3 linked regions of the Kluyveromyces lactis genome follow. The protein of the gene in region 2 purifies or fractionates together with the protein of the main gene of each other region. This does not show direct contact. Links are inferred from orthologs where the notes say so. Each region holds a gene or a part of one and is shown on either strand. Other genes may lie near its edges.

The links.
Region 1: the proteins of NFU1 (region 2) and ISA1 purify together in Saccharomyces cerevisiae (affinity purification with mass spectrometry; 3 studies listed by BioGRID, with this or other methods). This does not show direct contact. The link is inferred for Kluyveromyces lactis from reciprocal best matches to the Saccharomyces cerevisiae genes NFU1 and ISA1.
Region 3: the proteins of NFU1 (region 2) and ACO2 purify together in Saccharomyces cerevisiae (affinity purification with mass spectrometry; 3 studies listed by BioGRID, with this or other methods). This does not show direct contact. The link is inferred for Kluyveromyces lactis from reciprocal best matches to the Saccharomyces cerevisiae genes NFU1 and ACO2.

Annotation. Positions count from the first base shown.
Region 1 is NC_006042.1:1,662,931-1,665,708, reverse strand, and holds ISA1 (Fe-binding Fe/S cluster assembly protein ISA1), read right to left. Parts: upstream 1,282-2,778; coding exon 586-1,281; downstream 1-585. Other genes in the region: FRA1 (aminopeptidase P), read right to left, coding at 2,174-2,778. UniProt on the Saccharomyces cerevisiae protein: Involved in the assembly of mitochondrial and cytoplasmic iron-sulfur proteins. Probably involved in the binding of an intermediate of Fe/S cluster assembly.
Region 2 is NC_006042.1:2,367,097-2,369,888, forward strand, and holds NFU1 (Nfu1p), read right to left. Parts: upstream 1,412-2,792; coding exon 641-1,411; downstream 1-640. Other genes in the region: MCO14 (4a-hydroxytetrahydrobiopterin dehydratase), read left to right, coding at 1-490; KLLA0_F25498g (uncharacterized protein), read left to right, coding at 1,900-2,792. UniProt on the Saccharomyces cerevisiae protein: Involved in iron homeostasis within the mitochondrion where it is involved in the assembly of iron-sulfur proteins.
Region 3 is NC_006039.1:307,602-312,058, forward strand, and holds ACO2 (aconitate hydratase ACO2), read right to left. Parts: upstream 2,823-4,457; coding exon 435-2,822; downstream 1-434. Other genes in the region: Ras family guanine nucleotide exchange factor BUD5, read left to right, coding at 1-220; PHO90 (SPX domain-containing inorganic phosphate transporter), read left to right, coding at 4,010-4,457. UniProt on the Saccharomyces cerevisiae protein: Catalyzes the reversible dehydration of (R)-homocitrate to cis-homoaconitate, a step in the alpha-aminoadipate pathway for lysine biosynthesis.

The sequences.
Region 1 (2,778 bases), about 700 kb from region 2:
TATGGTTTGATAGAATAAATATGATGTTAAAAAAGTTATAAACGAGCTACATCAGGTAGCATTTTTTGTGACCAATAAATATACATATAGAATTATAATGATGATTGTAATTGTGTTTAAGGGTATTATTGGTGTGGAAGAAAGAGATTGAATGAGGGAGGATTTCTTAGGGTGTATCGCATTGAACAAATGAATAAAAGAATAAATTCAAGCAATTCTCCTCCGGGGGATATCATCAGCGTCCCGGACGCTTTATGCCCCCGTACGTACCCCAAATGGAAAGAATACCTGCTAGTAAAAAAGATCAGGATCCGATGCTATTGTATAAATAAATGTCGTTAGAATGAGTTTTCCAAACTAAACACCTTGTAGTAAGAGGTAGCAAACCTATCAGAAGAATAATACGTGGGGTGAGTGTTGTGTTAGTTGCGTCAACTGTTAGTTTCTTTATTTTTCTCCAGAGGCAATCCGGATGAAAGCGACAACAGTCAATGCTCCTTACAGGTGATGAATATTTATGCTTCATCCCAATGCAAAGTTGTGGATGATAATGATGCCGATGATGATGGAAAGATCTTGCATTAATTATACCATGAAACTTTCACCGCATCCGCATGTACCCTTAGAGTTTGGATTCTTGAAAACAAATCTAGAGGACAACTTATCATCTACCCAGTCCATTTCACTACCAACTATACTGAAAAGAGCCTTTGAATCAATTATAACCTTCACACCGTCTTGCTCTACCACTTCATCGAACTTTCCTGGACTAGTAATATATTGCAAATCGTAAGTCAAACCGGAACATCCTCTATTTTTAACTCCTATTCTTATTAGTTTAGGTTCAGGTTGATCGAGCAACCCCTTCAAATGAGAAAGAGCATTGGGCGTCAACGATATTAGAGCTTTACGTGGCCTTAGCTTTCTCTTTGCACGTTTTTTTGGTTGAATATTTTCATCGACTTTGGGTGGTTGGGTCTGTAAAGGTTCCCCCTTCTTGGCAACATTTTTAGGAAGCGAGTAAGTGAGCCATGTCTTTTTAGCACCTGCGGTCCCAGATCCAGATGCTTCTTCCTGTGTACCAGGTGCACTACTCTTACCGTTCTTCACTGGAATTTCAAAATTGAATGGCCAAACTGGAGCATTCACTTTATCCCCATTCTGAGAGGTTTGCAAAAACCTCTTAGTCCTTGCCAGTGGCCTTTGAGAAAGATGTCTCACTGCCAGCACATTGCCACGCAGCAGGCACTGGTTGCTTCTAGATAGTATGTGTCTTTGCATCGTTTGAAATCAATAGATAAATAGAGCTCCTTCTGCGTGAGAAAGTCACTTTCACTTTGTTTTACCTTCTTTGGACTTTTGGAGCAAACCCGATGGATATCAATATTTCAAGTACTGATGTAGAAAAACCACAACGTTGTATGCTAATAAATAATAATAGAATCAGAATGTAATCTCTGTACAACCTGTGCGAGAGTATGGCCTGCCTTCAGTTGATTGATGATTTGGATACTAGCAAATTTGGAATCTAACCAAAGAAACGGGAGAAAGTATGCTTTATTATAAGTGTTTCGTTATATATCCTCTAATTTTCAATTTTTTTTCTCATCCTCTGTTCTCCTGTGCATACATCATAACAAGTTAAAAAAGTGAATGACTAGTTTACAACGAATCAGTCCCGCTGCGCGTTTCCTACTTGATCCGTGTTCGGATCCCGGGGAAAAGTAAGGGATGTGGGACGGGTAACTGTCATCTCACGTCAGCAAAAAACGAAAAGGATTCTTACTTGTCAGGATATGGTTACCCGGATGAAAACATGTGACCACACGTGACAAATATGAGTAACAGGGGGAAATCTGGCGATGGGTAATGAATGGCATTAATACTAGTGCAACCAGTACATGTTAACGAAGGAAGTAATATTTAAAAGTACTTATATAGACAGACAACAAGGACGTTGCATATGTTTAGTTGACTCTGAATAGACAGTGAAAAAAAATGGTGATTCTGATAAACGAAGGTGAATTAAGAAGTTGAATAGAAAGGAAATACTAATATGGACCAAATTAATAAGAAAACGCATGTTCATGTGAAGAAATTGGAACAAGTTCTGTCACCATTTCCGAATAGGTAGACAAAATCAGTGATCTAATAGAGAAAAGAAAGGCACGGATCATAGTGATTTAGTTTCTCTCTTGAGCCATTTGAATGCAATACTGGATGGTTGCAAGAATGGAACGATTGAAGACCATATCCTTGTATGATAGTCGTTAATCTGTGATTTCTCCTCTGGCGTCAAAAGACTTGTGTTGATTAACTTCTTACAGTAAGGTACCATAGTTAGGTTCTCGAACTTCAAAAATTTACGCTTACCAAATTGTAGTCCTTCAGCTTCCTTGACGAGTAGATCGTTTTCTATTCGGATACCGTATTCACCATCTTTATAATAACCTGGTTCATTGGTGATTATATTTCCCTTTTCCAAGGGGAAATTTACAAGATGTGGTTTGTATCCAATTCCGATTGGTCCCTCGTGAACATTCAAGAATGAACCAACACCGTGACCTGTACCATGCTTGTAATCCAGTCCAGCTTGCCACAAAAACTGTCTGGCAATAACATCGATGTTATATCCACTGGTGCCCTCAGGAACCACCAACCGTTCAAGTGCCAAATTACCTTTCAATACTAGTGTATAGTTATCAATCTCTTCCTGCGTCGGCTCCGTGAAATGTAACGTACGTGTGATGTCTGTCGTACCTTCTAAAAATTGTGCTC
Region 2 (2,792 bases):
AATGGTGCTTCTTGTGTTTTGTTTCTTCTCAATATTTTTAGTTAATAAAGATTTCTTACATCTTGGAATTCTATCAACTACGCATAGAGAGATGCTGGAAAAGGTAATAAATGCCACTCTTCAAGCACTGAATAGTATAGACATGTACAATAAGATAGTAAAACAGGTACCAGTGCTGTTGCCACCAAAACTTCTGACACAAGAACTCAGAAAATTGCCTAAATGGAGATTAATGGAGAATGAATTGGTTAGAGATTATAAGTTCAGAGATTTTGAAGAGACATGGAGTTTTTTGAACAAAGTTGCCATGAGGTCACACTTATGGGGCCATCATCCTACAATTACTACTACCTACAACAGAGTTCAGTTCAGACTCACTACGCATGATGTATCTGGTATTTCCGATGCTGATATCATGATGGCTTCTCGGATTGAAAAATACATCAAACAAATCGATCCCAAGAAGGGCATCCTAATAGGGGATAAATAGAATGTATTAAATAAATAAATAATAGTGTACTTCTGTTTTGCATAATACCTTGCAAATACATGCTGTCATGATTCATTCCTTGCTTAGTCTTAGTTATGCCTGTACGTTTCTTTCATTGCTAGAAAGAAGTGACATACTGGGCAATTGCAATCATCTCTTACTGCTCTCCAGCTTCTTCTCAAGTTTTTCGAACTCCGCAAGTGCAATCTTCTCCTCAGGATCCAAGATCTGAACCACGTCCTCTACTTCTTCGATGTAATGCTTTAACATAGCTTCAATACCATGCTTCAAGGTATCCTCACTGGACGAACATGACTTACATGCACCTTGTAACTTCAAATAAACTGTCCCTGTCTCCGGATTCCATCCACGGTACTGGATATCACCACCGTCGTCCATAATAGCAGGTCTGATCCTTGTCTGAATCAATTCATCGATCATCTCGCTGATCTCTTGCTCATCTTCATCGTATTCAAATTTAGGAATGTCCACATCGTACCCAACTTCGGAAGACTTTTTCACGTCGAAGAAATCTGGTAAAAACGTGGGCTTCCCACTGGCTAAATGTTGTACCAATAGATCTATCACCGTAGGAGTCACTTGGTTCCAATGAATCAGTTCATCTTTATTTATAGTGACGAAATCATCACCGATCATCATTGCTTCAACACCAGGACATTGCTGGAACACTTTAGATGGGAATGGAGCATGTTTCAAAAGCTCCTCATCAGTGTTCTTGATCTCAACACTCTGTGTGCCTTTCTCCTGTAGCAGCCCCCCATCTGTGGAAACAAATTTCAATGCATTCTCATTAGGCGTTGTAAGTGTCTTGATATGAATAGACCTCTGCCATACGGGATTCAACACCGTTCGATGTACGCTCTTATAAAACTTGGGACCAAAACTAAACCTTCCTAACATCCTCGCAGTTTACAATCCGTTGTCTTGCAACTTCTCATCCTTTCTCTATATATGCACAAACCACTTGTTAATCATCTTAGCATAAGATGAGTGCTTTGTAATACTAGAGGAAATTCCTTTAATTCGAAATCTCTTGAAAATTACGTTTTTTCAGATAATTTATGGATTGAACATTTTAGAGAAATGAGAAAATAAAAGGTCCCTTTTACAAGAAATGACCCACTAGATATCGTAACAGAACAAAATTTAATGGAAGGCAGCAAAATATACTGAGACGGTTTCCGACTGTACAAGAACAAGGTTTTTCTTTCCAATTGTGTGCTATTTATTCTTATCCAGTGGTAGCTTGTGAATTGTGGACCCTACTTTATATCCGAGGCTGTGTGATTCTTAAAGAGACGAAATAAAACTAATTGCCGATCTTTTCTTGAGAGTCTAGGAAAAAGGAGAGAATAAAGGCCTATAATTAGCTTTTGATAGACAATACGATGAATTTCAAATTGAATTGGGTCACTTTGTTTTGTACGGCCCTTTGGTTGCATTTTGCGACGGCCAATAAGGGTACTATCACAGAGAAGCAGAATCAAATCTGCAGTGGTATGTATTCTAAAGAGGATTGGAGTGGTCGTGTAGATCCATATATTTCGTTCGATTTAAAGAAATTGAACAAAGAAGGCATCTCTGTGGTGATCTTTGATTTCCAAGATTACATCCACATTGGGGCTAAGACGAAAGCGGGTGTAGTTAAGTATATCTGTGACGAAGAAGCGATAAAAGAGAATCTATGTCAAGAAAAGAACAAGAACCAGTTTATCATTTCACCTGAAGCGTATGATCCAGATAGTGATACCGAAAAGTCATTAAGTGCCGACATTCATACGTTCTATGTGGGAAATACAGGTCTTGTGAAGGACAAATATGCCATTAAGAAAACTGGTTACTATTGTGTTGGTACTTACGCTAAGGACACTGGGATCTCTTACAAGGCTGAGGTAAATTTCAGGAATAGTTTTGGTAATCTAGCTGCTTCTGAAATTAACAAATTGCCATTGTATGGGTTATTGGCAATCTTTTATGTTGTCGCTATGGCCTTGTACTTATTTGCCTTCTGGAAACACAAGCATGAACTATTGCCCTTGCAAAAATATTTACTGGCTGCATTTGTGTTTTTAACCATTGATACAATCTTCATTTGGGGTTACTATGACTTGAAGAACACTAAGGGTTCGACCGCTGGTACCACTGTTTACATGGTCATTGTTTCAATCTTGAACTCTGCAAAGATCACCATGTCTCTATTCTTACTTCTTGTTATTTGCAAAGGTTACGGTGTGGTTTACCCTAAATTGAACAAGACCACGATGAGACGTGTTCAATTTTT
Region 3 (4,457 bases), on a different chromosome or scaffold from region 2:
CCAAGTTGGCTATGATCTTGAAAATAAACATAATCCATCAAAAAAAAGGGACTCTTTCTTCAGTTTAACCGGCACCATCGATATTGACTCAAAGAGTATCAAGCCAGTTGCAGAGCTACAAGAGTTTATCCTTTTCGAATTTTGGAGAACGAATACGTTATATGTAAAAGATTCGGATAGAGGATACACTTTGAGTTTAGAAATGCTACCAAGAAATTAAGAGGAATGAAGAAGCATTACTTATAGATGAAATTGATACATTGTAATTCTTTCTCCTTTTCGCTCGAATGCTGGACGTTTTTCCTGTCTTATGGTCGTATAAAATGTAATCGAAATTTAATGAGTATACTTGATATTAACAATAAATAAGTGTTGCAAAATGCATATTAAAACTCCAGAAGAGCCTATTTGTTACAGAATTCCAAACGGAAACATTATGCCGCTGAACGACGTAGAGTACCGATGTAGTTAATTGCAGAACCTGCCTTGAAGAATTCAACTTGGTCCTTGGACATGGTATGTTTAGTCTTAATGATGAATGATTCACCGGAACGTTTCGTTACTTTAACGTCCAAAGTACCTCCATTGTCACCATACTTAGCAATCATGTCCGCTAAATTAACGGTTTCTATAACGTCACCAGAAGAGATTCTATCATAATCAGATTCATCTGCAAAAGTTAATGGCAACATACCTTGCTTCTTCAAATTTGTCTCATGAATTCTTGCAAAAGATTTGACCAAAATTATTTCACCTCCAAGGAATCTTGGTGACAATGCAGCATGTTCTCTAGCAGAACCTTCACCATAGTTATGTTCTGCTACTACAATCCATGGTCTCTTATCTTGCTTCCATTTGATCATTAATTCTGGGATACCGTATGCAGTTCCATCTAAGTCATAAGCTTTATTTACTTCACCTGTTTCTTTATTTTGTGCACCTATTAACGTGTTGTATGAGATGTTTTCTAGATGACCTTTATACTTTAACCAGACACCGGCGGCGGAAATATGATCTGTCGTACACTTTCCTTCCACCTTCAAAAGAACAGTAGTTTTCAATTCTTTACCGTTCCAAGGTTCAAATGGATCTAACAATTGTAGACGGTCGGAATCTGGAGCAACTTTAACTTCCACGGATGGATTAGGTTTCGGATCATTTTCAGGATAGAATTCCTTTCTACCTGAAATGAATCCGGCACCAGGTAGCTCTTCTCCCTTTGGTGGATTGAATTTGAACTCTTCGCCATTCTGTAATTTGATAGCATCCTTCATTGGGTTGAATTGCGCATCTCCAGAGTAAATCATTGCTGTGACCATTTCTGGAGAAGTGAGGAAATTCATTGTGTTTCTATTACCGTCATTTCTTGCTCTGAAGTTTCTGTTGAACGATGTGAAAATGGAGTTATATTCTTTGGATGTTTTGGCTACATCTTGCCTATCCCATTGGCCGATACAAGGACCACAAGCGTTTGCAAGAACAATAGCACCATTGTCCTTAAATGTCTTGATTAGGCCATCCCTTTCTAGTGTTGCTCTAATTTGTTCAGAACCTGGAGTTACGAAGAATGGGATTTTTGGCTTCAACCCTGCTTGAGAAGCTTGTCTAACCAATTCAGCAGCACGGGTCATATCTTGATAAGAAGAATTGGTACAAGAACCGATCAAACCAGCAGAAATTCTTTGTGGCCAATCCTCTTTCAAAGTTTTTTCCCCGAACTCAGATATTGGTGTAGATAAATCAGGTGTAAATGGTCCATTTACGTGAGGCTCTAACTCTGACAAATTGATTTCGATCACTTTATCGTATTCAGCTCCTTCATCAGCTTTTAGGAAATTATATTGGTGCAAAGCTTGGTCTGCAGCAGACGCGATAAAGCCTCTGTTGGTAGCCTGTAGATAACGTTTGTGAGCTTCTTGGTAAGGGAAAGTAGAAGTGGTAGCACCGATTTCGGCACCCATATTACAGATGGTCGCCATACCTGTACAGGATAGAGTGCCAACACCTTCACCGAAATATTCAACGATGAAACCGGTACCACCTCTTACGGTTAAGATACCAGCCAGTTTGGTGATAACATCCTTTGGAGATGTCCATCCACTTAAGTGTCCTGTTAATTTAACACCCAAAATCTTAGGAGCTTTCAATTCCCAAGGCGTGCCGGTCAAAGCATCGACTGCATCAGCACCACCGACACCAATAGCGATTGCACCTAACCCACCAGCGTTTGGAGTGTGAGAATCGGTACCCAACATCATCAAACCAGGAGCAGAGAAGTTCTCTAGCACGATTTGATGGATAATACCAGAACCAGGTCCCCAGAACTGGATACCATATTTGGATGAACATGATTGCAAGAAATCGAAGACTTCTTGGTTTGTTGCAATGGATGACACTAAATCCTTGGCTTCACCGTCTTTACCAACGATTAGATGATCACAGTGAATAGAACCTGGAACAGCTGTTTCTGGTAACCCTGTAGTCATGAACTGTAAAAGAGCCATTTGTGCAGATGCATCTTGCATAGCCACACGATCTGGGTTAAGCTTCAAATATTGTTGACCTCTAATATCGTTTAGATTGGAGGATGTTATTGATTCATGAGGATCACATAAATGTGAGTATAGGATTTTTTCAGCCAGTGTCAACGGAGCATCATTTACAAGACTCTTGACAACTTCTAGATTGGAAATAAGTTTGGCATATGGCGGTACCCTAGACTTCAAGTCAGCGGGAGCTTGCAGAAATGGTTCGACACCATTACCGATAACTGTGGATAGGTTTCTAGCACGGTTTACTACCGATCTTCTAGCAGATAGCATTTTGTTCTCAACTATAGCCAACAAACCTTTTGTCCTTGCGTACTAGAATATAATCATAGTAGTTTCCAGAACAAAGATGTAATACCGTGAACCACCAATAGACACTACCTATGAACAGCTGAAACTATCATATGTACATATATATATACCTATAGCTTTAATTGATTCGAATTCCTAGCTCATCGCATGTCAAAAGAGTGAAAAAAAACGAGAAATTCAATGGAAAAAAAAAAGTACAGAGACAACTAGCAGAACAAGTACTAAAAACTGAAAAATACCAGTTCAATTATGGAATTCTACTCGAAGACTCTGAGAAATCAGTCAGCAATCTTAGATGAGACAGTAAAAAATCCAATGGAAATTTTTTTATTTAAATCGATTTTTCGCTGAAGGGAAAATTCCGTGGGAATTTTTCCGATTTGAGTACTTTCTCGGCCTCGAATGAATGAGTCAGAGAATTACACGTGACCGGACTAGAAAATAAAAAAGAAATTCCAATATCTATTCTCCAGAAGGTCCCAGGTTCGAATCTCTCTCGGTAAATAAATATATATAAAGAACTGAGGAATTTCCCCATAAATTTGTCTCTTACCATATTAAGAAAATTACTGGAAAAAGTAATCTCGAATCCAATTCTGAAAATATTAAATCTACATTTAATCATAAAGGGCCCACGTGGGACCTAGTCTGCAGCCGTGAATGAAGCACTGAATAATAAAAAAAAGGAACTAAACAAAAAAGTATAAATCCGGCCACCCCAGAACCGCAAGGCAGCGGGTGATAACTTAGTTTTGCGAATATCAGTATCTCCGATCTCTCAGCAGATCACTTGGCTTTTAGCCGTGTTTATTTTGAGTTTTGTTTTATACATTTGGCTCAGGTATTCTCCCTCGCTATATGCGTTCTGCCGTGACAGAAAAAAGAAAAAGAAAGAATTCCTATTTTGAATGGAAATTGTGGAAATGGAACAGCATCCACTAACGATTTGAACAAGAAGGATACTTATATAATGGAAGCGGTTCGTGGCTTGGGAAGACTTTGGTAGTTTATGGACCGTTTGTGTATAGAATATACATATATACACTGACGAGCTATCTGTTTAGTGAGACATTGAGGTGTATAAGGACTGAGATATATCCCCTACGGTGAGGAAAAGTCGGAAAATAGTGTGAATCATCTCGTTAGAAATGAAATTCTCACACTCGTTGAAGTATAATGCTGTACCGGAGTGGCAGGATTACTATATCGACTATTCTCATTTGAAGAAACTCATTTACTCTTTACAACAGCAGGAATTGGACCAGTTGAATGGGGGCTCTGATAACAAGGCTGGATCCAGCAGTAAGTCGAATAAGCTTTCGTCGTTAAAGTTTTGGAAGAAAAATGGGCTCGAGGACGATTCCGATACTGGCATCGTTAGTGGTAGTGGATTTGGTAAGAACAGTGGTGGTGATGATGATGCTAACGTGGAAACTATTGAATTAGGTGAGTATCCAAACACGAAGAAAAGTAGCAAGAGGAGTAAATTTGGATTCGATTTCGATAAGAGATCGTCAGTGTCAAGTGAAAGAACCATTTTCAATTCTCAGGATGTCTTCCTTGCTAAGTTGACCGATGAAAAACGTAAGATCGATG